Rattus norvegicus: one gene and its partner. The protein of the gene in region 1 purifies or fractionates together with the protein of each later gene. This does not show direct contact. Links are inferred from orthologs where the notes say so. Each region holds a gene or a part of one and is shown on either strand. Other genes may lie near its edges.

Region 1 (3,648 bases):
CCTGGGTTCGGTCCCCAGCTCCGAAAAAAAGAAGAAAGAAAGAAAAAAAAAGAAGTGCTGGGATTTTAGCTATGCACCCCAGCACCTGACAGCCACTGGGCGTACTAAAGACTTTAACGCTTAAGTAAGCACTCACCGATTGTGGAAGTCATTTTGAAAAAGAGCCCCTGGTGTTTGTTCTCCAGGTGCTTTGTTTTTTTGTCTTATTTTTCTTTGTAGAAATCAAAACAATTCCCCTACCTGTTTTTGTTGTGCTCAGGTTGGCCTAACTATGTGGCATAGCATGACTCTACCCCCGATCCTGTCTCTGCCTCTCCAGTGCTGCAATTACAGGTGTGCACCCACAACTTCTTGTGCCTCCATGTATTTTGCTTCTGTGCTCCAGATTAAATAATGCTCCTCTTACTGAGCTGGGGGTTATACTTCATTAGTAAAGCACTTGCCTGCTCTGGCAGGAGCCCCTGAGTTCAGTCCACAAACCATAATAATTATACTGCCTTTTCAGCACCTCTTTGGTTACTATACTAGTCTGAGTGCGCGTGCACACGGTTTCTAGTGCCTACCTCGTGCTGTGCCCCTCATTTCACACTTCACATTGGTCCTTTCTGCATCACGTTGCACCTCTTTGTTTTTGCTGTCTCTGAAAGCGGTCAAGCCAGGCAACCCCTTCTTTCCTTTTGCTTTTTTCTTTTCCTTTTTTTTCTGAAACATGTTTTTGTGTGTATAACAGCCCAGGCTGTCCTGGAACTCGCTTTGTAGACCAGGCTGGCCTAGAATTCACAGAGATCTGCCTGCCTCTGCCTCCTGAGTGCTGGGACTAAAGGTGCCCACCCCACCCAGCTTCAGGTGTCCCTTCCTGAGCTCGTGTGCTTACAGGTTTAGGTTTCTATAGTGGAATGCTTTCTTTCCCGCTATCTGTATGTTGGCTGCTTGTTTATTTCGTTTTGATTGAAAAGCTCCTTCTCTGGGTTTCTTTTTGTTGTTGAGATAAGATCTTTGTGATCTAGTCTGGATGTGAACTTCCTGAGATCCCTCTTGTCTCAGCTTCCCAGCCGCTCAGATTACAGATACACTCCTTCAGAAAGGTTTTATCATTACCACTGGTCTGTTTAAAATTGCGTCTTCCTTTGTCCTCTTTTTAGACGTTTATTTTGTATTTCTGGGGATCCATGCAGGACCTCATACGTGCAAGGCTGAGCTATAACCCCAGCAGCATCATCTAGTCTTATTTTTTTTTTTGTTTTGTTTGGTTTTTTTTGTTTTTGTTTTTCTTTCTTCTTTTTTTCGGAGCTGGGGACCGAACCCAGGGCCTTGCGCTTGCTAGGCAAGCGCTCTACCACTGAGCTAAATCCCCAACCCCTAGTCTTATGTTTAAAGAGCTGCTTTCTTTACTGCTCTGTACATTGTGGAGAAGATGCATGGTACCTGCTCAATAAAGAAGTAATTTTCTGTGCAGAATTGTTTGGGACCTGTTTTCTAGATCTGAAGGTTCAGTGGTGGTTTTGTGGTACATATAGTGAAAATTAAGTTTACTTTTTCTATTGTTCTATGATTGAACAAGTCCCACTGTTTGGGGTCATCGGATTAATAACATAGCATGTGTTTCACAGGCTTCGAGCTTCTCGGGTACTGATTGTCGGCATGAAAGGACTTGGGGCTGAAATCGCCAAGAACCTTATCCTGGCAGGAGTGAAAGGGCTCACCATGCTGGACCATGAACAGGTAGGTACCATCTGGTTGCCTGGTCTCCAAGAGGCAGTGCTGTGTGTGAGTGCTGCTGGGCAAATCCGGTTCAGTGACCTGTAGGTGGGAGACTGAGGCGGGATGGAGGCTTATGCACGTATGTAGCCTTCAGCACCTGAGCTGCTGATTCAGAAGAAGGTCTGGAGTGGTTCAGGAATGAGAACATACAACAGACACCTCAGGTCAGTGTGATGGCACTTGCCTGTAATCCCAACACTCAGGAGACTGAGGCAGGATTATAAATTCAAGCCTAGCTTTTGTTACATAATGAGGCTCCTAAAGAAGTCACAATGGGGCTGGAGAGTTCTTTCAAAGTACAAATCCCTACGTTCACATTGCAGCTCAGAACTGTCCGTAACTGCAGGATCTGACATTCTCACATTCATACATGCCGGCAAAACACCAATGCACACAAAACACCAATGCACACAAAATAAAGGTATATAAACAAACAAAAATAGTCAAAATAATCTTGTACGTGAAACTCACCAATGTTACTTTGAAAAATGTTGAATCAGAGAGAAGGTATATAGAATGCATATACAGAGAATGGTGAGCGTCCAGTATTAAACTGTACATCATATGGAGATAGCACAGCAGTGCCCGGTTCACATGCAGCTTTCTCTGGCTTGTCTCTTCTTCGGGGTTGGAAGTGTGTGTTTATACACTTCCAAGCCTCACTGACATGTAAGTTTTCTAACGATTTTTTGCTGATTTGCTTGCATCTTGGTCTTTTGAGGCAGGGTCTCACTGTAGTTCAGGCTGCCGTGGGACTTGGAGTGTAGCCTCAAGCCTATGAGACCTTGCCTCAAAAAACTAGGACTTGGGGTTGGGGATTTAGCTCAGTGGTAGAGCGCTTGCCTAGCGAGCGCAAGGCCCTGGGTTCGGTCCCCAGCTCCGAAAAAAAGAAAAAAGAAAAAAAAAAAAACAAAAAAAACTAGGACTTTCTACTGTGATATGAAGAAAGCTGACTTTTGTTTGTTGGTTAGTCTGTTTTGTGACAGAGTTTCTCTGTAGTTCTTGACTGCCCTGGCACTCGCTGTGTAGCCCAATCTGGTCACTGAGATGTACCTGCGTCCACCTCCCGAGTGCTGTGATTGAAGGCAAGCATATGCGCCTCCATGCCAGGCAGGCTCCACTATGTAGGGATTGGCTGGGAGCCTGTGTAGACCAAGCTGACCTCAAACTCATGGAGATCAGCCTGTCCTCTGCCTCCATAGTGCTGAGATGAAGGGACGTGCCATAGGTTCTGACTTTTTTATTGCCATTGAGGTAGGATTTTGGTTAGCTCTAGCTGACTATGTGACTTTCAACTCTGATCTTGCCTCTGTCTCCCCAGTGTTTTTTTTTTTCTTTTTTTTTTTTTTTTTTCTTTTTTTCGGAGCTGGGGACCAAACCCAGGGCCTTGAGCTTGCTAGGCAAGCTCTCTACCACTGAGCCAAATCCCCAACCCTTCCCCAGTGTTCTTACAGGCATGAGTCACCACACTTATTTATGAAGTGTGGGTGGTCAGACCTAGGGCTTCATTACTTCTTAGATATTATTGCCAACTACACTATATTCCCATTAAAAGTTGATTAAGTTAAACCTAAGAGGAAAGTGGTATGGTGATACATACCTGTAACCCCAGCACTCACAAATCAGAGGTAGGATTGCTGCAAGTCTGAATTCATCCTGGGCTACATATCAAAGCTCTCATACAGCAAACATTTAAAAAAGAAAGAGAATCTAAGGAAATACATATCTGTGAGCAAACAGGACAATATTTCTGAAGACTACAGTGCCCTCTAGAGGTAGGAGCAAATCTGAAGAGACTTAGTACATATGCCACCAAGCAGTGATCTGGCTGTGGGGTTCTAGTGGTTCTAATGCATACCTGCTGTGTGAGGTGGCTCTGATACGGTG
Region 2 (3,648 bases), on another chromosome or scaffold:
GTTCTCATTCAGGGCTGAACTAGCTCGGGGGTTAAGAGCACTTGCTGTTCTGTAGAGGACTCAGGTACGGTTTCCCAGCCCCCACATGGCAGCTTGCAACCACCTGGAACTCCAGTTTCAGGGGATCTGATGTAATGTCCTTTTTTGGCCTCTGTGAAAACCAGACATTTGTATAGTACACAGGCATACATACATGCAAGCAAAACCACCCATGTATATAAAAATAAAAAGTTCACACGAATCACCAAGGGTTCAAAGTCCCCCACAATCCTCAGAGGCCAAGAAAGTTTCTCTCTCACAGCAATAAGCAGGGCTTTCTAGAGATGTGGACTGAGAGCTCTGTCAAGACAGGTATGAGTGGGCTGGAGAGATGGCTCAGTGATTAAGGGCACCCGACTACTCTTCCAGAGGTCCTGAGTTCAATTCCCAGCAACCACATGGTGGCTCACAACCATCTGTAAAGATCTGATCCCCTCTTCTGGTGTGTCTTTAGACAGCTACAATGTGCTTATATATAATAAATGAATAAATCTTTAAAAAGAAAAAAAGACAGGTATGAGCAGTGGGTGTCCCAGTGTAGGCTAATAAAAGCCTGCATCCCTGATGACCCTCAGAGACTCCTCAGTCTTCCAGCTGAACCCCAATTCTGGGCACAGTTGGGAGGCAATCTTCCTTAGGAAACAGTGCCTCTCAGAGCAGCACCTGGGCCCCCAGACCTCCCCAGTTCTAACCACCCTGCGGACATGCAGCCTCTGCTATGTCCACCCAAACACACAGCCCTTCTCCTTCCCACGGGGGTTCGCTCCATCACTCTTAAATACAAGCAGAAACTGGGGGTGGGGGTGGGGGGCATTTAGGAAAAGACTCAAATAGGTGAGAAGAGACCAGAAAAGAAGAAAGCAACATGTCCCAGGCCCAGGACACACTGTGAACAACTTAAACAGACACAGGACACTGCAAGTCTGGCCACTCAGGCAGATGGGAAGTTTACACAGCAAAGATACGGCATATCGCCAGAATTATTTTAAGTACACCAGTGCTGTTCTCTTTGAAATGGTTCTTACCTGGGGTAATCCTGCCCACCTAACCGCGTGCATTTCTCAGTAAGGGGGACTTTATACCAGGCCAGACTGAATACTGGCTGTGACCCTGCTCGGTCCTCCTGGAGGCGTATCATTTGATAGGTCTAATAGCTGCTTGTAAGTCAGGGTTGTTGCCTCTGATGTGAGAATAGAGCTAACAGTCCTTGTGAAGAAACATTGACATCCTAGCCTCCTAAGTGTCTCTTATCTCTAACAGGCCTGGTTGGTACCCCACTTATCTTTAGGGTGTTTTGGAGACAGTGTTCCTTTAGCTGAATTCCACTTTGTATGACTCCATGTCTCCTAAGCAAATCCTGTATAACATCAATTCGAGTTTCTTCAATATTGGGAGGCAGAAAAAAGGAGATGGAGCAGTTAAAACACATGTACACTTAAAGCTTTTAGGAAGGTTAAAAACTGTGTGTGCACGCACATGTGCACGCGCGCGCGCGCGCGCACACACACACACACACACACACACACACACACCAAGAAAACAAAAAAAAGTTGCTACTAGGTTAAAAAAAAAAAACCACAAAACAGAAGCAGACAGAGCACTTCTGGGGGCTGGAGAGATGGCTTAGCGGTTAGAGCACTGACTGCTCTTCCAGAGGTCCTGAGTTCAATTCCCAGCAACCACATGGTGGCTCACAACCATCTGTAATGGGATCTGATTCCCTCTTTGACATGCAGGCAGGCAGAATACCGTACACGCAATAAATAAATCTTTGAACGGAGGAAAATGGTCACAGGTAAGCACACAGATTGGCTGACTGAGGGGAACTGGGCACTCCCAGCAGCAGAGGTAGACGTCTGTCTACCCAGGAGCAGGACAGGTAGAGACAAGTCTACATATGGGAAGGGCCCAGAGAGCACCATGCCAGAGTGAGGAGTTCTCCTGAGCCCCTGCTGAGATCTCACATCAGAGAAGCAGAATGTCACCCGTGTCCCAAAACACAGGATGCTAACAGAGAATGATGGCACCTTCCTGATAGCTCACCGCAGCCTACACTGTTACATGCAGCCAGATGTGACAAGATGTCCCTGTCAGATGTGGGAGATGATGCTATTAACACAGAAAAAGACTCAAGAGAAGACAAAGAAGACTCCAGAATGACTCTCCCAAGACTCTGGGATGGCAGCTGTGCATACAACCTCACCTCCAAACAATGGCTTGGGTGGGGCCAGCAGGATGCCCCAGAACACTGAGGTAGCTGACCTAGTGTGCACCCTCAACATAGCGTCTCAGCAGAAACCCGGGCAAACACAACCACAAGAGCAAGGAACAGGCCTACACATGTGCAGTCCAAGTGGTGGCACACAGCACACGAAGCTGACTCAGCTGGGAGGGCACAAGGGGGACATGGTGTCACCAGCAAGCTCCGTCTCACCTTTCCCAGGTGAGAAGTATCTGTGGTCAAAACCCAGAAGAGAGGAGGCCGAGGGCACCATCTGCAGGGCTCAGGAGGTAGGAAAGGAAAAAGCATGGTACCACCTCAGGACAGTACCTAGCTGTGCGGGCAAGCGCTCAGGGCAACCTTGAACCACCGTAAGGAGATGCTGCTACCCTCACAGAAGGGCAGGGCCCCCTTTGAGAGCCACCAGCTGGCAGGGTTCAAACAGGATCTGGCACTTGGGTTTATGTACAGCAAGCCAAGAAGCCACTGAGGCAGACATCGGAGGAGCAATTGAGACTAGGAGTCCAAGGCCTTCCAGGCGGGCTAGCATGTGCCCATCTGCCAGAAGGTCCTAATAAGAATGAATAGATGGACAGACCCAAGCACGGTGTGTACAAGAGCCATGAGTTCACAGTCACAGACAACCCTGCTCACTGCTGGGGACAAGGTCAGTCAGCTTGCTATTGTAAAACAGTAATGAATTGATGGGGTTGCATGTAGCCTTACTTTCCTGAATAACATTAAAAAATAAAATAAAATCGCCAATGAGGACAGCATACATGAGCATAATTGGATGGATACCAGAAAGAGGAATTCGAACCAGCACTGATCCACGTCTGAGTGCACCATAGGGCCTCAGCAGAGCCATTTACTGCCCCTATAGGAGTGTGCCACCACTATGATGGTCTACCAGGTAGCAAGTCCCACTAGAGTCTGCTTAAGCCCAAGATCCACCTATCCATGTGTAGGAGCCCAGGGAGAGGCACACTATAAGTTCATGCTGATACCAAGATCCAGGGCAGTAAAGGCAAGCCTGCAACACAAGCAGCCCCCATCCCCCACCCCCCACAAGACTCCTTCCTCTGGTCAGCACGTACCTGCCTCTCACAGTAGGCCTTCATCAGCTTGCTCAGCGGAGTGTGCCTCTTGATCTTGAACTGCACCACTGAGCCATCCTGCCCTGCCACTTTCAGGTTGATGTGGTCGTTCTCTGTCTTCACACCCTCCTGCAAGACATGAAAAAAAGGGTCTCGAAAGCCAGAATCACCAGGGTTTAAAGCGCAAGTTCTTGGGTAAGGTTGTTGTTTTGACTCGTTAAAAACAACCTAATTCTCAAAATTCCCCCAGCAGCTCAGAGTTGCTCGTGGGACTGTCTTATTTTTACACAG

The links.
Region 2: the proteins of Sae1 (region 1) and Sumo3 purify together in Homo sapiens (affinity purification with mass spectrometry; 3 studies listed by BioGRID and IntAct, with this or other methods). This does not show direct contact. The link is inferred for Rattus norvegicus from reciprocal best matches to the Homo sapiens genes SAE1 and SUMO3.

Annotation. Positions count from the first base shown.
Region 1 is NC_086019.1:86,204,945-86,208,592, reverse strand, and holds part of Sae1 (SUMO-activating enzyme subunit 1), read left to right. Parts: intron 1-1,610; coding exon 1,611-1,722; intron 1,723-3,648. UniProt on the Homo sapiens protein: The heterodimer acts as an E1 ligase for SUMO1, SUMO2, SUMO3, and probably SUMO4. It mediates ATP-dependent activation of SUMO proteins followed by formation of a thioester bond between a SUMO protein and a conserved active site cysteine residue on UBA2/SAE2.
Region 2 is NC_086038.1:11,013,660-11,017,307, forward strand, and holds part of Sumo3 (small ubiquitin-related modifier 3), read right to left. Parts: intron 3,487-3,648; coding exon 3,358-3,486; intron 1-3,357. UniProt on the Homo sapiens protein: Ubiquitin-like protein which can be covalently attached to target lysines either as a monomer or as a lysine-linked polymer. Does not seem to be involved in protein degradation and may function as an antagonist of ubiquitin in the degradation process.